Linked DNA regions of Notamacropus eugenii. The main gene of each other region encodes a partner of the protein of the gene in region 4 in a complex. Links are inferred from orthologs where the notes say so. Each region holds a gene or a part of one and is shown on either strand. Other genes may lie near its edges.

Region 1 (7,763 bases), on a different chromosome or scaffold from region 4:
AAAATTTTAAAGAAAAACAAAAACAAAACAATAAGTTCTGGCACCCCCTTGTGGGGTTGCTTTTCAACATTCTCAAATAAAACCTATTTGAATCTATTATTGAGTAAATTATCAAAATTGATGCAAAACATTTGAAGAGCAGTATGTAGGTGTTAGATAGCCTGCCTTAAAACTGGAAAGCACAGATTTGCTGTGCCTTTCAGTACCTTGGGCAACTCTCTCATACCATAATTTCAAAGAAGGTGCATTGGTTGAAGTAGTTTCCTCCTCTGGTAATTTCTAATATTAAAGAATCAAGGCTCCAGGAGCTACCCCTTATTATATATTGACAGTTAGATGCTATGTGCAATATAAGGAAAACTAAGACATTCATCCATATCCTCCAGGAACCAACATTTTTCTGTTGGGGTTGAGATAGACTCAATGATTAAAACTTTTTGAAATCATCCCCAGTTCCAGTTCCAGACCTGTAGCCAAAGAGGATGATTTCTATCACTAGTCAGTAAATCAAAACTCATTACAAAATGTCTATAAATGTTCCAAAGTCTCTCCAAATTCTTTCCGTTACACAACATCATGACCTTCTGTAATGGAAGCTGCTTATCCTCTTCTACATAGAAAATTGCATCAGTTACACTCTGTCAATCCCTGGATATACCCCTTCTGCATTTGAGTCCATTACCTCTGTCAGGAAGTGAGCTTACTTTGGTACTCTCAAATTGTGTAAGATCATTGAATTAAGAACACCAAGTCTTTTGAATTTTTTTTCTTCATATTGTTACCACAGAATTTATCTTGGTTATGCTCATTTCAGTCTGCTTTAGTGCATATAGTATCTTTCCTTTTGTAATTTCTTATGGTTCTATGTATCCCATTAAATTCATATAACATAATTTGTTCAGCCAATCTCCAAGGGATTTGGCATCTTTTTAGTTACAGTATTGTTGCTAAAACTAAAAGAATTACTACAAAATACTTCTCTGTGTGTGGATCTTTTCCCTCTTTCTTTGATCTCCTTGGGGGTATCACTTTGGGATCTAAAAGCAGAATCAAATAGTGAGTCAAATAGCATGCACAATTAGTTTAGTGACTTTTGGAATATAGTTACAATCACTTTGTGGAATGCTGGACAGATCTGTAGTTTTACCAACTATGCATTAGTATGCTTGTCTTTCTCAGAGTCTCCCTATCATCATCATTTTGCTTTCCTTCCCCCCATTTTTACCAATCTCTTGAATGTGAGGTGGGAAATCAGAGTTGTTTTAATTTGCATTTCTCTGATTATTAGTGATTTAGAGTGTTTTTTTATAATGGCTGTGATTTATAAATTTTTTTTCTTTAGGAAGCTAATTTATAGCTCATTCAATTTATTTTTTCGAATCAGGATTATCTAAATCCTCTATTTCTTCTTCTATAAATCTAGATATTTTATAAATTTGTAGATAGTAATCTATTTCATTTTAATTATCAAGTTTTATTGGCATAAAATTAGAGGTAACCAGTGGTTCAATCTTATTTGCATAAGAGCTCTCCTCATTGATGGAGAATTACTTTGTGTCTTATAGAGGGGCATCACTGTTGAGCACTTGCTTGAAGAGAGGTACTTGTAGTGGCTTCCAGTTTTGACAGAGGAGATACATGGTAATAGAATTTTCTTCAGAAAAATGTCTCTGAAGGGAGGGAAAGAATCTGGGGAAAAGCTGACATAAAAGATCTGGCACCTTAACAGTATTTCTTTATTGATATTAATTTTTTCTGCCTTACTTTCTGAACTCAGCCCTAACTTCTGAATGTGCCAGGTCAGCTGTGAAGAAATAATGGTGCTTTGTTTGGCCCAGATCAGTATCACCTAGGGTCTTTCTAATGCTTCCTCCAAATACTGAGCTGCATGTTCTTCAAGGACCTTGGGTGGCTCAGGCTAGTAAATTGCTGACTTTCAGAGCTTTTTCTTCAGGCTCTGGCCAGGTCTAACTATTGCCTTCTAGATCTGAGCTTTGCAGACTCCTGACCCAGTTCTGGGATCACACCTACACACCTATAGAATCCAAGTGTTTGTAACTCTCCCCTAGGGGTATATATCTGCAGGCTAAATTTTTCCCTAGCTCTCCCCTCCTCAACTGATGACATGTTTCTGTGGACTTCATTCATGAACCTGGAATTTTTGACTGGACCCCATGCATAGTTTCCAGCCTACACAATCAAAGTCTCTAGGTTTTCCCCAGTTCAGCCTTGATCTACATGCTGGAAGCTTTCTTGTGCTATGCTACATAGTTGTTTATTCCCCCCTGACTGGACTTTACTAGTAACCATAATCTGGTTCTATCTTTTCATTATGCCCCTCCCTGTCCCCACTTTAGCATTCTCTTCAGACTTACCAGGCAATTAGTCAACAAACAAATAATTTAAGTGCCTAGTATTTCTAGGAACTGTGCTACAAGCTGTACATAAGTACAAAAGATAAAGCATTTCCTGGTTGCAATGATCTTACATTCTAATGAAGAGACAAAAAGTACATATAAAATAAATACACAGTATAAAGATTAAATAAATACAAATACAATAAGATACAATACAAAGTAATTAAATACAAGGTAGTTTGGGAGGAAAAGCACTAGGAGTTGAGACCAGGAAAGTATTTATATAGAAGATAGTACCTGAGCTGCATCTTAAATGGGTGTTGGTTAGGAGGGAATCACTGGAGAAAGAAATGGCAAACCACTCCAGAATCATTGCCAAGAAGACCTCTTGAACAGTATTAGCTTGCTATGGTCCATGTGGTCATGAAGAGTCAGGCATGAGTGAGTAAACAAGCAAGGACAGAATGCATTCTAGGAAGATGGGAGATGGGAGTGGGGAGCAAAGAGAAAGCCAGTTTGATTGTGTCGCAGTTATGGTAGGGGAAGTAATGTCCATTGAGGCTGCAAAGAGGTTGAGGCCCAGTTATATGGAGTGAGAAAAGCTAAATAAAAGGTCATCTTAGAGGCAATAGGAAGTCATTGGAACTGGCTGAGCAGGGGAATCATATGGTGAAATCTGTGCTTAAAGAACAATATTTTAGCATCAGTTAGGAGGCTGTTGGAATCATTTAGGTGAGATGAGAGCTTGGAGAAAGTTGGCAACTGTGTGAGTGGAGAGAAGGGCTTGAATGTCAGAGGTGTTAAGGTAGAAAGAACAAAATTTGGCACCTTATTACATGTGGTATGAGCCAGGGTGAGATAATGCTAAGATTATGAACCTAACACATTGGAAGAATTATGGTGCCTTCAACAGTAATTGGTAAGTTTGGAAGAGGGGAGGGTTTAGGGAAAGGGTTCTTTACCTTTTTTGTTTCAGTTCTCTTTAGAAGTTTAGTGAAGCTTATATACCCCTTCACTTTTTACTTGCCTAGCTGCTTCTTCTCAGTCTCTTTTACTTTTTTTTTCATTCTGGTCATGTGTACTAACTCTTGTGTATCCCCCAAGTTTTTGTTATTATCTTTCCCTCTCCAAACTTTCCCCTTCCTGATCTTTCCTATTACTATAAATCTTCCTGTTCACCTAGGCTCTCAACTTAGGTATCACCTTCAACTCCTGTCTTTTTTTGTACCCCATTGTATGGCATAGTGCCAGGAACACAGCAAGTGCTTAATACATGCTTGTTGACTTCTCACAACATTTTTTTGAAAGGATAAAATACATAGGATTACAAAGAAAACTAATTATATTGAAATAATTAACAAAAAAATGAATAATTCCTGGTTTGGAGGGGAAAATGAATTCAGTTTTAGACCTATAGAGTTTAAGAATTTTTCAGGATGTCCACTTTGAAATATTCGCTAGACAATTTAATGATGCAGGATTGAAGCACAGGGGAGACTGAGGCTAAATATGCACATTTAGGAGTCATCAGCATAGAGGTCATAGTGAAATCCACAGCAGGTGATGAGGTTATCGATAGAGTATGTTGGTTCAATGGTTGTTCCACATATTCAATATTCCCTTTTTTGCCTTTGAACTGTGAATACACAACAACTTCACCTAGGTCTCTTAGAAATCTTAATTTTCTCCAGCTTAGTTTTAGTGCTGCCTCATAGGAGAGGCCCTTCTAGATTCCCTGTTGGCCAGTTATTATTCTCCCACCAAAAAATTATGTCCTATATATTTTATATTGATTTATAGAGCTACGTTTTATTTTACCCTATTGTAAGAAAGCTCCTTGAGGGCAGCCCCTTACATGTACTAAGTCCTTAAAAAAATACTTGAAGAAGTGAATGATCTTTCCAAATCAATTAATAACAGCTGAAAAGGACACGGGGCTAAGCCTGATGAAAGGAAGAACTTTCTAAGGTTAAAGCAGGGATATTTTACTCGTCTATTTTGATAACTTTCCTACATTCTAATGTATGCCTTTTATTTTATGCATTCAAAACCAGGACTCTGAGAAGAGTTTCATCTGACTGCCCTACGGGTCAAGGACTGATAAAAGGGTAGTATTAGAGATGAATTTGGGCAGTCCCTAAATATTCTGAGTAGGCTCCGCCCCTCTTCCACTTAAGGGGAGGGGCACGCAGGCCGGCAGACCAATCCGGGCTCTCTGAGGCGCCCCAGCCAGCGCCGTTGCTATTGGCTGGAGCTCTGGAGGAAACAGGAGGGGAGGGCCCCCTCCTACCTCTTCGGTTGCTATCGGCAACGGAGCGCCGCGGTAACTGACGTAAACGCCTCGCTCCGCTCAGCTCTAGACTCCGGTCCTCCTCCCTCTCCCTCCCCGTCCCACCTCTAATCCCTTTCGTCTCCACCCCCTTCCCAGCCCTAGCCGCCGGTTTCAGCAGGGAGCCGGTGGCCTTCTCCTTCCCGCCGGGCAGAGCTAGGCGCTAGCGCTTCTCCCTTCCGTTGGTTAGGTCGGTCAGCCGGCGTCGATTTAGGGAAAAGGACGGAGGCCAGCCGCTTCCCCGGGCTGCGCGTCCCCTCCTGGTGAGTCGGCTGCTCTCCGGGCTGTCAGCCGCTGACTTTTCCGGCCTGCGGCGACCATGGCTAACTTGGGTTTGTCCGGGCCGCTCCTGCGTGGGTGTGCGCGTGCGCGCTTGCGTACTTGAGTGTGTACCTTAGCCTCGCGCTGGCGGTACGTGGCTGCTGCTGCCGACGTGCCCCTCGCCTGCCCACCCCCACCGCCCGCGCTGCGCGTCCCCGGGGGTGCGTGCGCCTTTGCCCAGGCCCGTGGTGGCTACCACCGCGCTGCTGCACGTGTCTGTGCCCACGCGAGGCGCCAGGGGGCGAGAATTGACTTCGAGAACTCACGGTTGATTAGTATTTCGGACTCTTGACCACCAGAATCTCACGGGTTTTCTGATTCCGGAGGGAGGGATCCCAGAGCCCACCTAAATTATCCAGCCTGTACTAGCAGAACATTTCCAGATATTGGCAACATTTCGTCGTGGTGTTGGCTTCGGGGGTGGGGGGGAGGGGGGAGTATTTTGTCGCACACGTTTTGTTTTTCTTTCCCTTTTTTGCATATTTTGTTACACGAGTTTTTTCCTTTTTGTGTGTGCACACTTTGTTACACAGGTTTGGTTTGGTTTTGCTTTTGATGGAGTTAGAAATCCAAGACAAATAAAGTAAAAAAATATGCTGCAGTCTGCTTTTGGAGATCATCTGTACTCTGGCATTTTGTCGTGAATCATTGTATTGATCTGAGCAACTAAGTAATTCATAGTTGCTCATTGTTACAATATAACTGTTCCTGGATACAATGTTCTGACTTCACTTTGCTTGAAGATCTGAATTCACATGTGACCTCAGACACTTACTAGCTGTGTGATCCTGGGCAAGTCACTTAACCTCTATTTACTTCAGTTCTTTATCTATCAAATGAGGTAACACTGGAGAACACCCCATAGATAAAAGTCCATGGGGTCACTTAGAGTCAGACATGATTGAATGGCTGAACTACAACAACAGTGGTGTTGCTGGTATGCAGTTTTATACCCCTTTGAGTGTAGTTCCAAATTGTTCTGCAAAAAGGCTGAACCAGTTAACAACTCCACCAGCAGTGCATTAGTGTCTCAATTTATCCATATCCCCTTCTGCATTTGTTATTTTCCTTTTATGTTATCTTATACATACAGCCTGATAGCTGAGAGGTTGTGCTTCAGAGTTGTTTTAATTTGCATTTCTGGTGATTTAGAACATTTTTTATGTGACTGTTTATAGCTTTGATTTCTTCTTCTGAAAACTACCTGTTCATATCCTTTGACCATTTATCAACTGGGGAATGGCTCTTATTTTTGTAAGTTTGGTTCAGTTCTCTATATATTTGAGAAATGAGGTTTATATCAGAGAAATTTTGTTGTAAAATCTGCACACACACACACAGAGTTTTCTTTTTTCCTTCTAATTTTGGCTGCATTAGTTTTGTTTGTACAAAAGTTTTTAATTTAATGTAATCAAATTACTCAGTTTATTTCCTGTGATCCTCTGTATGTGTTGTTTGGTCATGAAGTCTTCCTTTAGCCATATATCTGATAGGTACGTTTTTTTCATGCTCTCTGATTTACTTATATTACCCTTTATGTCTAAATCATTTATCTATTTTTGACTTTATCTTGGTAGATGTTGTGTGATGTTGGCCTATGCCTTATTTCCTCCAAGCTGCTTTCCAGTTTTCCTAGCAATTTTTGTCAAATATTGAGTTCTTACTTCAAAAGCCTGGATCTTTGCCTTTATTAAACGCTAGTTTGCCATGGTCTATTCCACTGACCTACCATTCTATTCCTTAGCCAGTACCAGATTGTTTTGATAATTACTGCTTTGTAATATAGTTTGAAATGTGGAACTGCTAGGTTGCCTTTCTTCACATTTTTTTTCATTCATTCCCTTGACATTCTTGACTTGTTCTTCCATGTGGATTATGTTATTATTTTTTCTAATTTTATCAAATAATTTTTTTTGATAATTTGATTGCTATGGCACCGAATAAATTACTTGTGATAGAATCATTATTTTTATTATATTGGCTCTACCTGTCCATGAGCAGTTAATATTTCTCCCACCATTAAGATCTTCCTTTATTTGTGTGAAGTGTTTTGTAATTTTGTTCATATAGTCCCTGGGTTTATCCCGGCAGGTAGCCTCCCACATATTTTATTTTGTCTGCAGTTATTTTAGAAAAGACATATGCAGACAGATAGGAAGTACCAGAATAGACCAATATGTAGAGAGAAAAGAGTACCCAGGAGAAGAGGGTGATTAACTGTTAAAAGTTATAGAGAAGTCAAGCATGGTCAGCTGAAGCAAATAGATTATGCTCCAGCCCCTTATTTTATCTGTGTGTGCGTGTGTATGTGTATTTCCCTGTTTCAAGCAACATATAAGTAACATATTATTGTATTCTGGTTTCTAATCCTTCTGCTATCTGCTTCCATTTTATAAATGAGTTCATTCCATTCATATTCACAGTTATAATTACTGTGTATTTCCCTTCATCCTATTTTCTGTTTATTCTTCTCTTTACCCTATCCGTCCTCTAAAGTCTGTTTTGCTTCTGATAACTGCCTTCTTTCATCTGCCTACCCTTTTGTCATCCCCCTACCCCTTCCCATAGTCTTTTTTTCTCCTACTTTCCTGTTGAGTAAGATAAACTTATATTACCACTTGAGTATCTCTTCCACATTGTGACTTTCCCCATTGTGGTTTTTGATATATCGAGTCAGTATAAGAAATTAAATGGGAATTTTGGGGGAGTTTTGTGGAAGCCACAGACAACACTCAAGAGCCAGCAGACAACACAGT
Region 2 (7,470 bases), on a different chromosome or scaffold from region 4:
TCTCTTTTTATGTCATGTGTCTATGGAAATTTGGGGGGGGGGTCTTTTTGTATTTAAGTTCAAAATGAATTAAAAAAACAAAACTTGGTACCGCCTCAAGCACCTGACACTGAATTCTACACAAAGTAAGCATTTAATAAATAGGGTCATTGATTTAGAGATGGAGGGGACCTTAGAGGTCATTGAGTCCAACCCTTCAATTTACAATGAAGTAACTAAGTCCCAGAGGAGTTTAGTGGCTTGTCCAGTGACACAGGCAGTGTCATAGAGAAGATCTGAGCCCAGGACTTTCTGTTTCCAAACACAACATGCACTCTGTTCACAGAGTGAGCACAGCCCCTTATATGTAGCTAGCTGATATTGTAGATAAAATTCCTGACCTGGAATCAGGAAATCCTGACTTCATATCCGACCTTAGATATTACTAACTATGTGAACCCTGGGCAAATCACCATGTCATCTTGACTTTTGTCTTTTTTTTAAAAATTAATTTATTTGTTTCAAGTTTTCTACAATCATTTCCATAAGTCTTAAATTTTCTCCCTCTCCCTCTTCCTTCCCTCCCCAAGACAGCATGCAATCTTATATAGGTTCTACACATACATTCTTATTAACCACATTTTCACATTAGTCATGTTGCATAAAAAGAATTAAAATGAATGGGAGAAACCATGAGAGAAACCAAACCAAACCAAAACATAATACAAGAGAAAATAGTCTGCTTCATTCTGTGTTCCGATTCCATAGTTCTTTCTCTGGATGTGGATGGCATTTTGCCTCAAGAGTCCTTTGGGAATGTTTTAGGTCCTTGCATTGCTGCGAAGGGCTAAGTCTATCAGAAACAGTCCTCGCACACTGTCTGTTACTGTGTACAATGTTCTCCTGGTTCTGCTTATTTCACTCGGCATCAGTTCATATAAATCCTTCCAGGCCTCTCTGAAGTCCTCCTGTTTATCATTTCTCATAGCACAATAGCATTTCATTACATTCATATATCACAACTTGTTCAGCCATTCCCCAACTGATGGACATCCCCTTGATTTCCAGTTCTTGGCCACCACAAAGAGAGCTGCTGTAAATATTTTTGTACATGTGGGACTTTTCCCCAGTCTTATGATCTCTTTGGGATACAGTCCTAGAAGTGATATTGCTGGGTCAAAGGGTATGCACATCTTTGTAGCCCTTTGGGCATTGTTCCAAATTGCTCTCCAGAATGGCTGGATCAGCTCACAGCTCCACCAACGAGTCAGGGTTCCAATTTTCCCACGTTTATCATCTTCCTGTTCTGTCATGTTATCCAATCTTATAGGTGTGATGTGGTACCTCAGAGTTGTTTTGATTTGCATTTGTCTAATCAGTAGTGATTTAGATTAACTTTTGTCTTGCCACGGGACTTCTATGACCCTGGAAGAGAGAACGAGGCTGAGGGCTTTGTGCAACTCTGCTTCACTTCAGTCCAGTTCATACAGAAGTCAAGGCAATACCCATGATGTCATTGTATCCTTTGAAAACAAAGGACAACCAGCAATATAGCTACATAACATAATGTGTGAATTCATGTAGCCATATAAACACCAGCTGTTATTATGATAATATGTATCTGTTTGTTGTTATTCCCTGAATACTTTTAGCTTCATGAAAGTAGGACCTCTATCTTATCTAAAATCTATTCATCCTCTAATGGTGGGTGCCACTGTGTCTAATGCACTGCACCTAGAGGGGGGGGGGGTAAGATCTGAATTCAAATCCTTCCTGAGCCACTTAGGAGCTGTGGGCAATCCCTGTTTGCCTCAGTTTCCTTATCTGTAAAATGGGTATGACAGCAGCACTCCTCTCACAGGGTTGTTGTGAGGACTCAGTGAGTTAACACATGTAAAATGGTCTGCAAAGCTTAAAGGGCAACCTTGATGGTAGCTATCATTATAACAATGAAGATTCACTTTGAGTTTTGTCTCTCCAGCATCTAGCAAGGCAGGGGTTGGCACACTGTCTGCTGCTTGCTTGAGAGAGTTCTGCATACAGCAGGGACTTCACAGATGCTCTGGTTGCTCTCTGTGAGCTGGGGTCTCACTGTCTCCCTTTGCACACAGCAGGGGCTTAATAGATGCTCTGGCATCAGTTGCTGTATCTGCAGGAGGGGGTGTCCCCTTCCTCAGTCAGTCGCCCTCCCTCCCCACGCACAGTGTGCTCTGGGTGCTCACAGCAGGCGCCTAATAAGTGTGGCTGTCAGCCTGGACCGTGCTGGGCTGGGCCTCAGGGCAGGTTGCACCTCCCACTCTGGGGGCCTCGGGACCAGAGTCAGGAGGGACAGAGAAGTGGCTGAGCTCGGGGTGAGCCCAGGAGGATGAGGAGCAGCAGCCTGAGCCCGCAGCTCAGGCCACAGACTGGCCAGGCGGGAGACGCGTGTTGTCTGGGCAACGGCCGCGTGGCATCACGGGAGGAGCAGAGAGGAGGGATGAGGAAGGGGGCACGGGAGGGGAGGGGCTAAACCATCCCCAACAAGGGGCGAGGATTGACGTCAGGGACGTGGGGCCTCGGGTTCAGGCAATGGGGAAGATGACGTCAGGAGGAGTGAGCCGCCTCTGAGAACGCGAGGAGACTTAGTTGGGGGCGCAGAGCGAGGGCGGTCTAGGGAGGGGGCTGGCGGCAGGGGAGCCGAACAGCGTTTACGCTGGGGAGGAGATTGACGTCGGAGGTGCCAAGCAAGTCTAGGGAAGGGGCGGAGATTGACGTCAGCGCAGCCTAGCGAGGTTAGGGGACGGGAAAGGGATGACGTCAGGGGCTCAGAATAAAGACAGGAAGATGACGTCAGGGGTTTAGGAGTGGGAAGCCCCTTGGGGCAGAGCTAAAGGAGCTTGGTCTAATCCATGCTCTGCTTACTCCATGTGTCACTCTACTGCTCTGAGCCTGTTCCCTCAATATCTTGACAAAACCGTATTAGTCTCCACCTTGCTCATATTTTACCCCAAAATCATATTTCTGTTATTTCACTGCAATGCTTCTCCTGCCATTTATGATGATGCTAGCCTGCTTCTCCTAGAGCTGAAAGTGACCTTAAAGATGCAACCTCATTTTGTGCATAAGTAAGGCCGGAGAAGTCATATTCTCTGGGTCACATAGCAGCAGATCGGGGATTCAATCTGAGGGTCCTTCCCAGCAGTCTTTTCTCCAGCAGCAGAACAAGCCCAGGTCTCCTGACTCCAAGACCAGTGCTCTTCCCTCTCTATCCCACTCTCTCCTCCCCTCAATCCTTTTCTCCCTGCTTTCATCCTCCTTCCCTTAACCAAGCTCTCTTGCCTCTCCTGACCATCACCTTCCTTTTCCAAGAGTGCTGTGTCCCCAGGCCTTTGTCCAGCTTCGTAGGATAGCTCTGCTCCTTTGATGTCATCCCCTCCCAGACACTAAACCTTCCTTCCTCTGCACCCCTTACTCATCTTCCTCTAATTCCCTAAGCTGTGCTCTGAACCCTGAATGTCAATGACCTTCATTTCCCTAAATTTACTAACCCCCCTGACACACTCCTCCTCTTATGTTCTGCATCAGTTTCCTCCCCTTCCCTGGGCTCTCTCTGTACCCCTCCCCCCCCACTTATCTTCCAGTTCTCTAGCCCAGTTCTCCACCCCTGATTCCAGTGATTTTCCATTCCCCAGGTGTCCACGACACCATCTGCTTCCATTCCCTAGCTTTACTTTGGTGCCACTGTCTGTACTCTGGACATTAGTCCCCACATCTTCCCTAGGTCACTGCCTGACATCAACCTCTTCAGGTTCCCTAGGCCCACTCTGTGCCTAGGGAGACTGTGCCAGTCTCTCAACCTCTCCCTTAGCCTTGGCACTATCAGACTCTAAGAGTTCCATAGACTTGTTCTGTGCCTATGATGTCATGCTCTTCCTTTCCTTAACTTTCCTTGGAGTCCCTGTTGTCATCCCTTTCCAATTCCCTGGACTTACTTTATGTCCCTGACATTATTCCCCCTCTGCTTCCCTAGGTCTGCTCTTTGACATCAGTCTCTACCAGTTCCCTGCCTTTAGTCTGCACTGCTGATGTCATCAGCATCACTGGGGTCTTCTCTACTTCCCCAATCTGGTTCTGAACTGCTGATGTCAGTCTCCTCTATCCCTCAGCAGGCTCTGAGAACCCAGATGTCATCCCCATTCAGTTCCCTAGACTTTACTCTGCACCCCTGATGTTAACTCCTTTCAGCTCCTTACACATGCTGTCTGCTGCTCCTGACATTAATCTCCAGGGGTAAAATTTCAGCCTGTGCTGGGGTGGGGGACTCTAAAGCCTTGATGTCTTCTATTTTTTATTCTGAGCCGCCCTTGTCAGGCCTTCCAGTTCCCTAGATTTGCTCTGTGCCCTTAACATTAAACTACCTCTCGTTCCGCGTGCTGGGGATACGGGGGAGGGGGGAAGGAGGACAGGGGAGTGTGTGTGTGTGTGTGTGCGTGTGTGTGCGCTTACTCGGTCCTAACATCGATCTTCCTCTCTTTCTCCGGGGCAGGAGGATGGTGGTGAGGGGGGAGGGAGGAGAGGGCTCTGAGCCCCCGACGCCATCCCCTTCCAGTTCCCTAGACGTGCTCTGTGCCCTTTATTCTCTCCCCTTTCCCGGGATAGGTGTGTGTGTTTGGGGGAGGTGGTGGCGGGGTCATGGGGGTGGGGGAGGTTCTAAGCCCCTGACGTCACATTTCAGTCTCTATTCTGAGCACCTGACGTTATGCCTTCCAATTCCCTAGATTTTCTCTGTCTCCCTAACATTAATCTTTCTGTCCCCAGGCTGGGGTACGGTGGGGGGAGGGTACGGAGGGCTCTGAGCCCCTGACGTCATCCCCTTCCACTCCCCTCTCCTCGCTAGGCTGCGCTGACGTCAATCTCCGCCCCTTTTTAAACGTTGTTCGGCTCCCCCGCCGCCATCCCCCTGCCTAGACTCCCCTCGCTCTGCGCCCGGGACTGCGGCAACCTCGCGTCCTCAGAGGTGCCTCCCTTCTCCTGACATCATCCTCCCCCTCCCCAGGCCGGAACCCAGGCTTAGCCCCGCCCCGCCATTGCCACTCTTCCCAGCCTGCCCCGGCCTCTCCCTTTCTCCTGCCCGCCTCCCGTGATGCCCCGCGCTCGGCTGCTGCTGTTGCCCAGACAACGCACGTTTCCGGCGTGGCGGTGGCTCAGTGGCCTGAGATGGGGGGGTGGTGCCTCCTGTTGCTGCTGCTCGTCGTCCTGGGCCTGGGGGCAGCGCAGGTTCCAGACTCCGAACCCCCACCTTGGGCCCCCGCAGAGACTCCTCAGGGCCCCGATGCTGGGCCCATCCCGGACCCCGACCCCGGCCCCACCCCGGGCTCCAGGGACAACAGGCCCGAGACCGGGGTCCGCGAGGCCGCCGGGGCCACTTCTCAGTCGCCCCTGGCCCCAGCGGAGGACATGCGGCTTGCTCTGAGGCCCAGCCCGGTCACGAATGGTGGGTACTGAGGAGGCAGGGGAGGACACAGACCTGGAGGCCTGCAGCAACATTTGCTAAGTGCCTGCTGTGTGAACAGAGTGCACTCTGTGTGGGGGAGGGGGGGAGACTGGTGCGGAGGAGGGGGTGAGGTCCCAGCGGGCAGCTGATGCCAGAGCATCTCTTAAGCCCCAACCTCGTGTAGAGGAAGTACCGGGTCTGTGGAAAGAAAAGGTGACACCCTAGCTCATAGATACAGCAGCCGGAGCATCTGTTAAGTCCCTGCTGTATGCAGAGCTCTCCCAATCAAGCGACAAACTGTGTGCCAGACCCTGCCTGTTGTTGCGTTTGTCCTTCGTTCTGGAAGAGGTCCATGACATCAAGATGACGACGTGACTTGCAGTTGACTCTGATCTGAGTGAGTGAGGGCTGTGCAAGATCACCAGCCTCACCTTCTCCTCCAGTGGCTTGATATTCATCAGGATGACAGGAGATGGCTGGAGAAACAAAAAGCAAAGTGAATTTTAGGAGTGCATCTTACTTGTAATAACATTGATGTTTCGCTTTAAAGTTTGCAGACCATTTTATATGTGTTAACTCATATAGTCTTCATACCAGCCCTGTGAGAGAAGTGCTGCGTTATACCCCTTTTACAGATAAGGAAACTGAAGCAAACAGGGATTAAATGACTTGTCCATAACTACTAAGTGTCTGAGGAAGGATTTAAATTCAGGTCTTCCTGATTCTAGGTCCCAGTGCATTATACACTGTGGCACCCATCATTAGAGGACATATGTATTTTAGGTGAAATACAAGTTCTGCCTTCATGAAGTGAGAAGTATATTAAGAAATAACAAGGAACAGATAGGATAATATCATAATAGCTGGCCCTTAAATGTTTGCATTGTATTGTGTTCGTCCTTCATTGCCGAAGAAGACAGGACAGGATAGGCCAGGACAGGACAGGAAAGGAAAGGAGCCAGTAGAACCCAAGTCATCTGGGCATCTAGCTGAGATTCTATCTGGCCCACTGGTGAATACAAGCATTACAAATGCTTAGGCTCCTTAAGAGTCAACCCAATATGGCAAATGCATTGTATACAATTGTAAACAACAGCTCTATTGTTTGTCCTTCATTTACCAAAAGGACCAGTGACATCTTGACTCATGTGAACTGCATTTCAGTGAGTTAGCTTCAGTCTTTCCAAGTCATCCAAGTCCAGTAGCAAGACAAAAGTCATGACAACTGGCAATGGCCCTAAATGTGGTGGATGACCTTGGTGTCATTTTGTCTAAGCTCTAAATTGTTCTTATCTACCTTTTCTGCTGGGGAAAGCCTTCACATACTTGAGGTAGATGTCTCCATAACTCACTGATGGGTTTTGAGGCCTATCAGTTATCCTTAGCCTGGTTTAGCCTGTCTGCTGGATGGTTTACTCCATCATGGCAAGCTCTCACGCCAGAGGTGCTAGTCCTCCATGAACACCCCATACACCTCAGATAGCTGTATAGTGTATATTGAAGTTTGCAAAGCACTTTGATTATGTGGTATATGTTATACGTGTTATCTTGCTTGATCCTCACCACAATCTTGTGCTATTATAATCTGGAAACTGAGGCAAACAGAGGTTATGTCGTGACTTGCCCAGGTTTCATAGAGCTGGTGTCTTAGGTTAGATTTGAACTCAGGTCTTCCTTGACTGCAGGTCAGAAATTGTATCTACAGTGTCAGCTAGCTACATATAAGGGGCTTAATATGGTGAACAGAGTGCATGCTGTGTTTGGAGACAGCAGGGCCTGGGCTTGACTGTTCTCTTAGACACTGCCTGTGTCACTGAACAAGCCACTGAACCCCTCTGGGACTTAGTTACTTCTTTTGAAAAATGAAAAAGTTGGACTCAGTGACCCCTAAGGTGCCTTTCATCTCTAAATCAGTGATCCTACTTATTGAATGCTTACTTTATGCAGAATTCTGTGTCAAGTACAGGAGAGGTAAGGAAATTTAGATCTCAAAACTATTGTTTATGTTCTCCTGGAAT
Region 3 (7,179 bases), on a different chromosome or scaffold from region 4:
AAGTGGATAGCAGAGTGGATTGAAAACAAGAAACCTACAATATGTTGTTTACAAAAAAACACATTTGAAGCAGGGAGGCACACATAGAATAAAGGTAAAAGACTGGAGCAGAATCTTTTATGCTTCAGCTTAAGTAAAAAAAAAACAAACCAAGGATAGCAATCACGATCTTCAACAAAATAGCTCTAATTAAAAGAGGCAAGGAAGGAAGCTACATTTTGCTAAAAGGTACAATGAAGTAATATCAGTTCTAAGCATATATGCAACAAATGGTATAGCATCTAAATTTCTGAAGGAGAAGTTAAATGACTTATAGCAAGAAATAGATAGTAAAACTATACTAGTGGGGGACCTCAACTTTCCCCTCTCAGAACTAGATAAATCTAACCACAAAATAAACAAGAAAGAAGTTAAGGAGATGAATGGAACTTTAGAAAGATAGATATGATTGACCTTTGGAGAAAATTGAATGTGGATGGAAATGAATATACCTTTTTCTCAGTAGTACATTGCACTTACAAAAAAATTGACCATGTATTAGGGCACAAAGAAACCCCACAATCAAATGCAGAAAGGCAGAAATATTAAATTAATCCTTTTCAGATCATGATGCAATAAAAAATTACATTTAATAGAAGACCATGGAAAGATAATTAAATAAAAATAAACTAAATCTAATCCTAAAGGATAAATGGATCAAAGAACAAATCATAAATAATTTCATTAAAGAGAATGACAATAATGAGACAACATGCTAAAATTTAAGGGATGCAACCCAAGGCAGTACTTGGGGGAAATTTTATATCTCTAAATGCTTATATCAATAAAATAAAGAGAAGACCAATGAAGTGGGCATGCAATTTTAAAGAGCAAGAAAAAGAACAAATTATAAGTCCCTGATTAAACATCAAATTGGAAATTCTGAAAATCAAAAAAGAGATTAATAAAATTGAAAGTAAAAAAACCCATTGAACTAAAAACCAAGAGCTGGTTTTATGAAAAAACAAACAAACAATAAAATAGATAACCTTTGGTTAATTTAATTTTTAAAAAAAGGAAAGAAGAAAACCAAATTACCAGTATCAAAAAATAAAAAGGGTGAATTCACCACCAACAAAGGGGAAATTAAAACAATAATTAGGAACTATTTTGCCCAACTGTATGCCAATAAATCTGACAACTAAGTGAAGGGGATGAATATTTACAAAAATATAAATTGCCCAGATTAACATAAGTGGAAAGAGAATACTTACATAGCCCCATTTTAGAAAATGAAATTGAATAAGCCATCAATGAACTCCCTAAGACAAAATTCACAGGGCCAGATAGATGTACAAGTGAACGCTACCAAACATTTAAAGAACAATTAATTCTGATACTATATAAACTATTTGGGAAAATTCACAAAGGAGTCTAACCAAATTCCTCTTATGACAAAAATATGTTGCTGATATCTAAGCCAGGAAGAGCCAAAACAGAGAAAAAAAACTATACCAATTTCCCTAATGAATACCAATGTAAAATTTTTTTTAAAGTACTAGCGAGATTACAGATATATATGTGTGTGTGTGTGAGAGAGAGAGAGAGAGAGAGAGAGAGAGAGATATGTATCTTATATATATCTTCAATAGTTTAAAAACCCGCCAAAAATTGGGGTATCTTCCTGTATTAAAACTCCTATTAAGAGAGATGAGGTAGACTAAGGGGGAAGAGAGAGAGAGAGAGAGAGAGAGAGAGAGAGAGAGAGAGAGAGAGAGAGAGAGAGAGAGAGAGAGAGTTAATTACAATAATAGTTCAGGGTTCCAGAGTGAGAGTACAAACTTTTTAGAATGATGCAGCACACCTTCCTGTTCTTGGCTGATTAAATGGGGGCACAGTTGGCACACTTGTCCATATCCCCAATCCCAGAAATATTTCTGGGATCCTGGGGAAATTTTAGCATTATCATTTTAAGTGTCCTCTCTAAGGACTTGCACCAAAGAATCCCAAAAATAACCTTGTGGCAAAATTCTCTGATCTCTTAAATAAAAAAATAATCTGAGTGATTGTTAAACATTAAAAAAATAAAAAAATTAATAAAAAAAAAAATAATCTGTTTCCAGGTATCTGCCTTGGTTTACAGTTTTTCCCTGTGGGGATCTTTTATACCACTCTTCAATGGCTGGCTATGTTCATGTACAATGACAGGTTTACTGCATGGTCTTTTCCAAAAAGCCATTCAAATTAAAAAAAAAATACACAAAAATTACACAAAAATAGCTCTCTGGGGCCCCTCTTAGGCAAGTGAGTGACATGGTCTTTAATAATACAAAGGAACTATGGTTGAACTTTAAGGATTCTACAAATTAGCCCTTTTCTAAAAGAGTTGAACTTTTCTTTCTCTATCCCAAAAAATCCTGTCTCTTCAAGATACTTTGAAAGTAAACTGATCTCGGAAGAGATTACCTAGTAGAACTTAGAAGTGACTTAAATTACCAGTGACTGGAAGACCCAACAAAACTGGAGGACTTAAAATGTAGTTTTCATCCTGGAGTCAGGAAGATCTGAATTCAAATCCAGCCTCAGACACCTGACCTACTAGCTATGTGACCATGGACAAGTCACTTAACCCTGATTGCCTCGAAATACAAAACAAAAACAAAAAATCAAGTTTGCCAAAATTATCTTCAATAATAATGTTTATATAGTGCCTTAAGGTCTGAAAAGTACTTTATTAATATATCTCATTTTTTTCCTGTGCTATCATGATCCCTATTTTACAGATAATGAAAAGAAGACAAACATGTTAAGTGACTTGTCCAAGGTTACATAGCTATTAAATAAGTGTTTTAGGCAAGTCTATCCTAACTCTAGGCTCAGGGCTCTATCACTTGCACCACCTATCTACTTAGGTGGTTCAGAAGACAGTAAACAGGATGCTTATCTTTTTTGACTCTATGACATATGAGGGCTATTGAAAGTACTGGACACATTTAGCCTGGAGATGTAGAAGACTGGGGGTGGGAATGGGGGAATATGATAGCTGTCTTCAAATACTTAAAGGATTTTTATCTGGAGCGGAGATTACACTAGTTTGGTTTGGTCCTAGAGATCAAAACCAAGAGCAATATGTGGAATTTGTAAATAACTAAATTTAGGTTTGCTATCAGGAAAAATGCCCTTTCTTAAGTCTTTTTACATTTCTTTGGCAACAGTATGTCATTTGAGTCATTCATATGCTATCTGTTGCCCTTGTCACATGCTACTTCTTTTCCAATTATGTATATATTCAGTGAATCCCCTTACATCACTTTTAATACACCAATCATCTTTGAAAATATTTGTGCCTTTCTTTTATTGACCTTTCGGTCACAGGCAAGATTTTAGTCTTTAGGGACTGTGAAAATTCAATATTTGCAAACATAAAACGGTCAATCTGTTCTGGAGTAAATTCGTTGTAAAAAAGATCTCGAATAATTCTCTTTTGTACTGCGAATTCATACTGAAAACAATCTTGAGGAGTTGATATCCAAACAGACAATTTTATTTCTAGGCGTCAAACTTTGTGCTGTTACAAATGGTATTGCTACAAACATTTTGCTGAAACCACGTTTTCATGATGTTTTCCCCCTAATTCTGTGAGCTCCAGAGGATGCCTTTCGCCTTATTTTTTTCCATCTCCAGTGCTTAGCACAACCAGTGCTGGCACATACTAGGCGCTTAATAAATGTTTATTGATTGACTCTTCAGAGAGTTGTGCACCCAGTGCTTTAAAGATAGCTAGTGGCACATACGTATGAAGTGTTCCATTTGATTTCGGTCCCTAAATACTTCCTAAGACCAAGTAGGAAATGCACGGGAATTTCATTTCCTTTGGACTGGCTACAGATATTGCCTTGGGCGATCTGACAAAAATATACCTACAATGCTGTTTATCCGAAAAGATAAAAGATTATTCTGTTTACACGCAAGGTTTCAGAAATGTTCTTAGCGCTCTTGGCATAGATCACCGCAGGGAGCAGGGATACAAGGTATCTTTGGCACAAGTAGACCACAGTAACATTTTCTCGCCGGCGCGGAGCCCGTCCCCCTCACGTCGTTACATGATTGGCTGAGAACGACTCTACCCCAGCCGCGGCCTTGCTATTGGCTCACGCACCGAGGTAGGACGGTTACCGTGGAGACCTAGGCTATGGCCACTGAGAGAAGCCAAATCTGGTAAGCGTTGGTGAGTCGTGCAGCCCAGGCCTCCGCCCCGGGCTCCCTAAGCCCAGGCCTGCAGCGAGGAGCGCGGCCTTCGCCATGGCCCTCTACGATCTGTACTCTCACCCTCTGGAGATCATCTACCGCGCAGGGCTGTGCTCCAAGGCCGCCTTGTTTCTGCTGCTGGCCTCCAGCCTCACCTACATCCCCCCGCTGCTCGTGGCCTTCCGGAGTCACGGTGAGCCCGGCCCAGCCCGAAGGGGCCCTGCCCCTTCCCCCCCCCCAGGCCTTCCAGACGCCCCCATGTCGTGCGCCCCCAGCCCCTAGACCCAGGCCGTCCAGACGCCCCCATGTCGTTCCCCGCCCCCCCAGCCCCTAGACCCAGGCCTTCCAGATGGCCCCCCTCACATTGTGTCCCTTAAACTCCCCAGATCCAAGTCATCCAGACACCCCCCTTCAGTGTGCCTCCCAAACCCCACCCAGACCCCGGCCATCCAGAAGCCCCCACCCCAGACCGAGGCAGACGTCTGCCAACACATTGTGGCCCTCCCAACCTCACCTACACTGCCCTCTGTACTTTGCCATCAAGGCAATATTATGGTGTCCCCAGAACCTGGCGTACACCCCTTGGCCTCATTCTCCTAGTGTGTCACATCTCCCCTCATCTTGTGTGTGCTCTCATCTCCCTTTCAGCTTCTTTGGCCCCTAGATCGACTTGTTGGTGTTCAACACGGCCTGGGCACAGAGCTTCATTCTCCATGCCTTGCTTCTGACTTGTATATTCTGTCTAGGTTTTTGGTTGAAGCGCAGCAGTTATGAGGAGCAGCCGACTGTTCGGTACCAACATGAGGTGCTGTTTGTGGCTTTGTTAAGCTCTAATTCTGGAGAGTATCTAGCCTGGAGCACATTCCCCAATTTTAACCAGTTTCAAGGGGATAATCTTCGGCTGCCAGTGGTATGGGTAGGTGGCTCCTATACTCCTAAAGCAGAATTTGCTATTGACAGTTTGTTTTGACATATTGATCATTTCCCAATAAATAACCTCCCATAATACTTCCCTGTAAAAAAACATCAAATAAGCTAAACCATCTTAATATCATGATTGTCATAGACAAAAAAAAAATTGTGATTTTTCCACTCTTGTAGTTTATCATTTCTTAACAGAAAGGAAGAGTATTTCAGCTCTGCCCTCCCCACAGAAGTCCATGGATTTGACCTGAATTCTTTTGCTTTTTAGGGTGGACTTCATTCAATCAGTATATTCAGGTCTATATTGTTCCTTTGGTCTTGCTTTTTTCTCTGTACATGAGATTACACAAGTCTTTCCACCTGTCTTTGAGTTCTTCATATTTATCCTTTGTGATAGTGAGATGGGATTTTATTACAATCATAACAGCAGTTAAAAAGGTCCACAGAAGTCATCCATTTCAATCATCTTATTTCACAGATGAGGAAAGTGGCTTCCAGAAAGGTTCATTATTTACTGACAGTCACACAGTGAAAAAGTGGCATCGCCAGGATCCAAACTCGGGTCTTCTGATTCCAAATTTTGCATTCTCCCCACCGTACCATGCGCTTCTTCTTCCATTCATACGCTGTTCTGTTGAGGCATTTCTAGTCATTGGGGGTGTAGCTTGTTTCTAATTTCTTTCTGTTACAAATTCTTGCTGTAACAACTATGACTATTTTGGTGCAAATGGGGAACGTTATTTCTGTCGTTGACCTCTGTGGATATAAGCCCAGTGGTGGAATTTCTAGCTCAGAGGGTATGAATGGTTTAGTAAATTTTGTCGCATATTCCCAAATTATATTCTAGAATGGTTGGATCAGTTCGTAGCTCCACTATAGCTCTACCAACATTTGCTTTTTCCATCTTTTACCATATTTTTCCCAATTTGATGAGTGGGAAGTGATACATACCTTAGAGTTATTTTAATTTATAGTTTGCAATTGCAAATAAGACAAAAAAAAGAAACTAAAATTATTAACATTAAAAACAAAGAGTTCAAGATATTATTTGCTATTTAGGCTATTTAGAAAATCCAAATGTTCCTACCAAAAATTAATAGTGACAATAAATGAGTTGAGGAAGGTCTTAGAAAACAAGATGAGTTCACTAAAATCATTTGCAGTCTTATTTGCTAGCAATAGAGATCAAAGAACCCCATCTACCATAATAATAAATGGCACCAAATATTTGAAAATCATTCTGCCTAGAAATATGCATGGCCTATATATAGACAACTATAAAATTATAATGACTAAAATAAAGAAAGATCTAAATAATTAAAGGGATAGTGTGCAAAGATGGATAAGTTAATATGATGAAAATGTCAATACAACCAAGCTTAACTTGAATACTTAATACAGTACCAATCAAAATGCCAAGATTTAAGTACAACTGGACAAAATAATATTGAAATACATATAGAAAAATAAAGAAACTGGACTATGTAGAGTCACTATTTAAAATGCTTGTAAATGTAGTCTTGTACTCCCAGACTTGGGATAGCTAGGTAGTGCAGTGGCTAGAATGCCTTAACTAGAGTTAGGAAGACTGGTCTTGAGTTCAAATGTGACTTTAGAAACTTACTAGCTGTGTGACCCTGGACAAGTCACTGAACCTTGTTTACCTCAGTTTCTTATCTATAAAATGAGCTAGAGAAGGAAATAGCAAACTGTTCCAGTATCTCCAAAAATCCCAAATGTGATTATGAAGAGTCAGACATAACTGAAAAATGACTGAATAATGACTTCCAGACTTATTACAAAAGCAGCCATCCAAATTATCTGGCACTGGGTCAAAAGCAGAATGAGGCATATGAAAGAGAAGAATAATCCTAGGCATCTAACTAAATGTAGACAAAAGGCAAACCTTTTATAGAGGATAAAATCCCAGACAAGAATTCATGATTTAATAAAGGAACATGGGAAAATTGACTACTAATTGGACAAGAAATTAATTTAGACCCACATCTCACATCATATACTTTAGTG
Region 4 (7,201 bases):
ATGAGGTTGTTTATTCACATTTTAAAAAGAATTCTTTGCTTTATAAAAGGATTCACTGGAGGAGTGCTTTAAAAACCTCCCATCTCATTTAAAATTATTTTAAACAATTTATGGTTCAGAAATCCATTTTATAAAATTACAAACACCTGTATATGCTTATATATCTTGTTATTCTCTCAGTATTATTTTTAATGATGTATTTCATAAAATTTTCTTGGTTGTCTCTAGGAGAAAACAGTAAGTAAAATTTGCCAGTGACCAAAATGAAAGAATAAAGAATTTTGTCTATCAATGTTTGTCGCTCATCAGGTACTGTCTGTTGACTCCACTGCTCAATGGAAAGGGTGCTCACTTTGGTGTCAGCAGCACTGACTGTTACTGTCTATGTTACCATCAGCAGGCTGTTACTGTCTATGAAATCTTGGACAGATCACCTAATGTCTCTAGGCTGAAGTTTTCTTTGTTCTTGTTGTTCAGCTGTTTTTTAGTTGGTCCAACTCTTCATGACCCCATTTGGGGTTTTCTTGGAAGAGACACTGGCGTGTTTGCCATTTCCTTCTCTAGTTCATTTTACAGATGAGGAAACTGAGGCAAGAGGTTAAGAGACTGGCCCATGGTCTCACAGCTAGTAAGTGTCTGAGGCCAGATTTGGACTCAGTAAGATGTCTTCCTGACTCCAGGCCCAGTGCTCTAGCCACTGTGCTTGCTAGCTAGCTAGCTGCCCCTCTGGGCCTCAGTAAAATGAAAGGGTTAAGCTAGATGCAGGACTTCTGAAATTTTTTCCACTCTTGACCCCTTCAGCACTTCTTAAACTCTGGGTCCAGGGCATATGGGGTCACGACCCACAGTTTAAGAAGCTCTGAGGATGTCTAATATGTCTTCCAGTTCTAAAGCTATGATCCAATTATCTCATTGGTCTCAAAACTATGTTAGCAACTGAACTACTAGACTAAGCATTTTTTGTATTGTGCACATTCATCCTTACTCTCTCTGCCATAGGATGAAGACCTACAGGAGATGGAGGAGTTAGCTAAAAAAATGGAAACTCAGTTTGGCCAGTTTTTTGATCAAGTGATTGTGAATGACAGTCTGCAAGAGGCATACGCACAGCTGTTGACTGCTGTGCAACAGGCCCAGGATGAGCCACAATGGATCCCTGCAACCTGGATTTGTTCTGACACCGAACCTTAACGAGGAGGCTTCCTCACCTAGCCCACTTGGGGCTGGAGTCTCACATCAAATTTTAAGGAAGCATTTTTACTAAGAGGATTTGGAGCACTGAGAAAGAGCTAGTGCAAAAAGGAAGATTTGGTTTATAGCTTGCATAACCTAATACCTGCACCATTTTTTTTCAGTGCTGCATCACTACAGCTTGTTCATTTCATTGTTAAGAAGTATACATACCTGTTTTAATTCCACAGATGTGCTGTGTTGCATTATTGAGTTTCAGCAAAATAAAATATGCCCAGAATAGCTAATCTGGAACCAGACGTAGAAGCTCCATTAGTAAATCCAGATCACAGTGATTCATGATAAGCAGGTAACTGATTTCATACAGATCCTTTGTTTGAGGTCCTTTTCTAAGTTAAGGTCAGTGTTCCTTTTCTGTGCCTGACTATACAAGTTTGTCATGGTGTTAGCACATGGATCTTTGACTATGTACATAACTATGATTGATCCATGATCTCAAGGATAAGGGCCCTCATATTATGGAGACCCATCCATTTAAGTCTTCTCCACATCTTCCCACCAATTCTCTACCCACCATGCTAGGGACTTCCTTCTAGTTGTCTTGACATTTTATGGTATGAAATGCATATTCTATCTATCTACTGGTTATCCTTTTGTTTTAGTGGCCCATCTTTTGGTCCATTATGCATATCTCTGATATCCTTTATGTTGTTTCTCCTTTGAAACTCTCCTCACATCCCAGGATCTCTCCATTGTCCTTTGGGTTGTAACCCTCAACTTTAATGCTGACTGTATCAAACCCTGGAATGTAGCAACTTTCCCTAAGTTCAGATCCAGCCTCAGAAACTTACTAGTTGTGGGACCCTGCGCAAGTCACTTAACTTTCATTTGCCTCAGTTTCCTCAACTGTAAAATGGGATTAATAATAGCACCTACCTCCCAGGGTTGTTTTGAGGATCCAATGACATATTTGTAAAGCACTTAGCATAGTAGCTGGCACATAATGGGCATGTATTAACTGATTGTTTTTCTTCTTTCTTTCCTTCCTAAATGAGATCCATGATCACTCAGGACTGTGGGCTAACCATGCAGGGAAAAATAACTTCAAAAAACAAGTGGTTAGAAAAAAATATATTGTTCAGGCTAAGATATGCTGTTGAATGGACAACCCAAAAACAGAGGTGGTCTATTAGGTCAAGTCTTGTATTGACATTGAAAATGAACAATAAATGGGGCCCAAAGCTGAACAAGAAAAAAATGGGCTGCATTACCTGGAGGAAGCTGCACAAAGTTCTTCCTGAAACAAAGGTTTAACAAGCAACAACATTCCTTAGTGATTGTCTTCTTAGTATCTGAATCTAATTTGAGGGTCACACATATTGATCACTTTAATTTCACTTTTTAGTCTGTTTCTCTGGTTGTTAAATCAAAGCTTCAGACCTATTAAAAAGTGCCAGACTTTTCAACTCAAGCCTAGCAATAACATGTGAAATTTCTGATTTTGTGTTTCTATCTCTCAAAAGTTAAAAATGCATAGGTATCCACTCCAAGCATTTTGGGGGAAAGAAGAGGGAAGGGGTCAGGGCAAACAGCCTACCATAGTTATCTCTTTTCTAACCGTTACAGACTTAATCCCTGGATTTGCATATGAACAGGAACTCTCAAATGGATCTCACTCAGTTTAATCACACAGTGAACAAATACCAAGAATCTTCCCCAAGTAAAGTTGTAATTGTGAAAATGAAATTTGGCTTTAAATTTTAGGAGAAAGATAACACACACACACACACACACACACACAGACACACACACACACACACACACACACACACACACACACACACACACCCTCTCTGTTTTACTGCCGACCTTCTACATTTCTACTTATTCCCACCCACTCTACTATCTATAATGTACAAATTAAAAAAAAAAGACACTTTAAAATATTTCAGTCTTAGGTTCCTCATTCTAAGACGCAGTGCGGAAAGAGTATGGATTTGGGAGGATTAGGGATTCAGAAAACCTGGGCTCAGATCCTGCCTGGGACACTTTGTGACTGAGCAAATCACTCAATTACCTACTCTGTAAAATGGAGAGGGTGGTCTAGATGGCCTCTAAGGTTCCTTCTAAATGTAAAATGCTATTTTCATAAGCAACATGGGCATTGGACCGAGGTCCAATCCTAGGAAGACTTGGATTCAGGTTCTGACAAGCTGTGTGACCACGGGCCAGTCACTTCACGCTGCCATACCACTGACTGTATGAGGTCATCTAATCCAATACCTTCATTTCATAGAAGAGAAAAATGAAGGCCAGAGAGGTTGAATGACTTGGCCTACAAGGAGCAGGGCCAAGATTTGAACATCCTCCAACTCCAAAGCCATTGTTACTTTACTTTCATTTAGTCACTCATGGGTAGAAGGGATTTTTACATGGGAGTAGACCACTCCCCTGACCCCCCAAAAGTCCTGAATTTAAAAGCAAACATTAAAATGCCATGTACCTGCTGAAAGACCAAAGGCCACCACTGCACCTAACACCCTGGGGTTCAGCTGTATCCAACTTCTCATGACCCCGGGTTTGCTAGGCAGACACTGGAGTGGTTTGCCTGTGCTTCCCCAGCTGATTTTACAGATGAGGTAACTGAGGCACACAGGGTTAAGTGGCTCAGTCCCACAGCCAGTGAGGTCCCAGTCTGAACTGACGGTGCCATCTAGCTACAGCTCCACACCGTCTTTTGCTAGGCGTCTGTGGCCCTCAGCTGCGTTTCTCACAGACAGACAGGACTGTGAGAGAGGATGAGGCCGGCATCCCTGCTCTTTGGCCACACTCCGCTGGCCCGCAGGCAGGCGCACAGGCACTGACACACTTTCACACACACGCGGGGGCACAGGCACGCCAACACACGTGTACGCAGACCACGCACAAAGACAGCAGGATTCCTACAGACACAGCCACACTCACACGGACACTCCTACACGGACACAAATACGCACACACTCGTCCTCGTGCACACCCACGCGCGCACATTTCCACACGCGCTCCAGCCCTCGGGGCAGACTAGGGCGGGAAGCACCGCCCCGCCGGGAGTCGGCCTGGTCCCCGGCGCCCGCACGCCCTCCCTCTCCCAGCCCACACCTCCGGAGCGGAGCGCGGCGCGGCGCGGGCTCGAGGCGGGGGCTGGGCCTCGGGCCGGGCGGCGGCGGTTGCCCAGGAGGTTGCGCTGGACGCGGCATGAGGCCGGAGCCCGGGCCCCCGCAGGAGGAACCCAGCCCGGTGAGCCGCAGCGGTGGTGTGCTGGGCGGGGCTGGGGGGTCTCCGGGGCGTTATCTGGGGGCACCCCGCCCTCTCGCCTCGTTAGGGGTGCGGGGCCCTAGGTCTCGGGAAAGGGCCGGTGGCGGCCGGCCGGCTTGGGCGTGCGCTGCCATGACGACGCCCCGCCCTCCCAGGGCCACCAGTTGGGGTCCTCCTTTTCCACTTCCGCTTCTGGGCCTCTCTTACTCCGACCGCTTTCGCCGCCCACCCGTCCCGGAGAGCTCGGTCCGCCTGCGGGGAGGCCGTCATTTGCGCCCAGTCTCCCTTGGCTTCCCTCCCTCTCCTCCGGTCACACCCACGCTTCTCTGTCTGTCCCACTAGCTAGACCGGCGGAGCGGGGCCGGGCCTCGGGGGCGGGGCCTAGTGACGCAACGACGCACGGCGCGTCTGGGCCCTCCCCGCCACGTGTTAAGTGGCCAGTGGGCGGGGCTCGGGCTGGAGTCTTGCCCTGCTGCGGGCGCTGCCCGGGGCGGGCTGTGCGGGCATCCCACTGGCGCGCGGTGGCCGGCTCCTTCCGAGGCGGGCCTTAGATGGTATGGGGAAGAAACAGGTGGTAAGCCTCCGTCAGTGACTTGTTTTCCTTTGTTTCGCACGCCGTGACTGGGGAGGGGCGTCGTGCGTGGGTGTGCTGGCTTTGGGTGATGAGAGGGCCAGTCCCTGCCGGCCTTCCCGCTGAGATCCTCGTGATCCATTGGTCCTGGGAGGGAGCCTGGACCCAAAACGATAAATGAGGTCTCTGCGCGTGGCCTGTGTGCTGCTGTCGCTTTTTATACAACCGTTTTTTAATTTGTCTTCTTATTTTTCATTAGCATTGCTGTTAGTATAGTATTGAATATATTAATAAAAGCTTTGTTCAGCTAAGGACAGAGTTTAGGAGGAAAGTCATTAGCACTTATCCTTTTCGATATGCAGTATTGTTCCTGCACTAAACATAAGAGAAAAGAAATTAATGGGCATTTTCTTTATTAGATCTGTGATTTCATTGGTATCAGGAACGTCCCAACAGACAACCACCTCCACCAGTGCAGAAGTGTTAAAACAGTGGTCTGCAAAGCAGGGCGTGCACACACCGGGAGGGTGCATGAGTGCTAAGAAAATGTCAGGAAACAATTGTTCAGTGGCTGCTACGTGCCAAGCCTTTAAGTGCTTACTGTGTTAAGTGCTGGACATATACAGAATGGCAAAAAAGCAATTTAATCTAATGGTAACCACCACCTGACTCAACCCCTTCCATCCTGGCCAGGGCCCAATGTGGGCTGTGCTGAATGGTCAGCCATTTAAGCTCCTCACCATGCAAGAAGGTGCAGGGAGGGGGTGATGGGAATAAATCCTTCTTCCCGAAGTCCTTGCATCCTCCTTGCCTCTACCCCTGTGACCCACTTTTGTAAGTCGAAGGGTACATCTTCCTGGCCTGAGCTTGGCATACTAGTTCCTTGCTGCCTGTCCAGGCTCTTTTCTAAACTCCCTCACCCCAAAAAGAATGAGAGGCTTACACTAGACTGGAGGCATCTGCAGCAAGGAGAAGCCAAGAGGGTCAGGCCCAGCTGAGGTGATGGCATTATAAATGGAAGTGAATATATCAGCATTGACAGCTAGCAAGAGTTGGGAGGCAGCAGGGGTGGCTGCAGTCAGTGGGCTTGGGGATCAAGCAGTCAGACTGCCGAGAACCCTATTATTGCCCCCAACCAACCAGACAGCTTCAAAGTAAATGAAGGCCATTTACAGGTGGGAAACCAAGGCCTCCCCAGGCATCTTGCTGTGTGTCCTGCTTCCTTTTTCTTATCTGGAACAACCACCACCCTCTAGATCTGGGACCTGATCCCCAGAGACCATGTCTCTCACCCCTTGACTTGAGGGAAGAAGACATTTAACAGTCAGATTGCAACAACTTCATCGTCAACAACAAACCTCTGAATAATTGGTAGGTGGAAATGAAAAATGAATTCATGGTTTAGTAAGCACTGTCATACCTATAGGGTCATAACTTAAAGCTGGAAGGGTCCCGAGAGGTCATCTAGTCCACTCCCCCCCTCCATTTCACAGATAAGCACCTTTATAGAAATTAAATGACTTACCTGTGGTCAGAGACAGAGTAAGAGTCAGAGACAGGATTTGAACCTGGCCGGATCTGAACCTGGGTCTTCTTAACCAGCATTCTGTTTACTCTATCATTCTTCCTTTTGGATCTACAGATTTTTGAGATATCTTTCAGCCCTGACTGCCATTAAAATCTAGTGCTGGAAGAAATTGAACTTAGGATCAGACCCTCGAATCACTGTATCACAATGTGGCAAACCAACATTTTCCAAAGAATGTGGGACTTTCTATTATATTACTCTCACTAAATAAAGTAAGATAAAAATAAGTCACAGTTTTATTTAATGAGAGCCAAAGTCTTTTGTATTAATAAAAATATTTTAAAATATACTTTATCCTATTTTTATAATGTATTAAAATATTAGTAGAGTAGCAAATACTTATACATTTACAAATACATTCATGGAGAAGGTATGCCCCTAAATTTTTTGATAGGGATGCATGATCAAAAAAATTTGGAGACCATTGTCTTAGTTGCCTGGGACGCTGAGAGAAGTTAAGTGACTTGCCCAGGGTCACATAGCCAGTTGTTCAATTATATCTGACTCTTTGTGACCCCATGGACTTGTCCATGGAGTTTTCTTGGCAAAGATGTTGG

What was found.
Region 1: TMEM237 (region 4) and AHI1 share a complex: the UniProt entries of both Homo sapiens proteins name them as parts of the tectonic-like complex. The link is inferred for Notamacropus eugenii from reciprocal best matches to the Homo sapiens genes TMEM237 and AHI1.
Region 2: TMEM237 (region 4) and TCTN1 share a complex: the UniProt entries of both Homo sapiens proteins name them as parts of the tectonic-like complex. The link is inferred for Notamacropus eugenii from reciprocal best matches to the Homo sapiens genes TMEM237 and TCTN1.
Region 3: TMEM237 (region 4) and TMEM231 share a complex: the UniProt entries of both Homo sapiens proteins name them as parts of the tectonic-like complex. The link is inferred for Notamacropus eugenii from reciprocal best matches to the Homo sapiens genes TMEM237 and TMEM231.

What each region holds. Positions count from the first base shown.
Region 1 is NC_092873.1:221,567,931-221,575,693, reverse strand, and holds the start of AHI1 (jouberin), read left to right. Parts: upstream 1-4,597; 5' UTR 4,598-4,949; intron 4,950-7,763. UniProt on the Homo sapiens protein: Involved in vesicle trafficking and required for ciliogenesis, formation of primary non-motile cilium, and recruitment of RAB8A to the basal body of primary cilium.
Region 2 is NC_092875.1:35,714,311-35,721,780, reverse strand, and holds the start of TCTN1 (tectonic-1), read left to right. Parts: upstream 1-4,408; 5' UTR 4,409-5,175; coding exon 5,176-5,452; intron 5,453-7,470. UniProt on the Homo sapiens protein: Component of the tectonic-like complex, a complex localized at the transition zone of primary cilia and acting as a barrier that prevents diffusion of transmembrane proteins between the cilia and plasma membranes.
Region 3 is NC_092872.1:712,648,829-712,656,007, forward strand, and holds the start of TMEM231 (transmembrane protein 231), read left to right. Parts: upstream 1-4,115; 5' UTR 4,116-4,281; coding exon 4,282-4,420; intron 4,421-4,973; coding exon 4,974-5,143; intron 5,144-7,179. UniProt on the Homo sapiens protein: Transmembrane component of the tectonic-like complex, a complex localized at the transition zone of primary cilia and acting as a barrier that prevents diffusion of transmembrane proteins between the cilia and plasma membranes.
Region 4 is NC_092877.1:297,804,376-297,811,576, reverse strand, and holds the start of TMEM237 (transmembrane protein 237), read left to right. Parts: upstream 1-4,085; 5' UTR 4,086-4,425; coding exon 4,426-4,467; intron 4,468-4,898; exon of another isoform or gene 4,899-5,036; coding exon of another isoform or gene 5,037-5,073; intron 5,074-7,201. Other genes in the region: MPP4 (MAGUK p55 subfamily member 4), read left to right, coding at 1,000-1,191. UniProt on the Homo sapiens protein: Component of the transition zone in primary cilia. Required for ciliogenesis.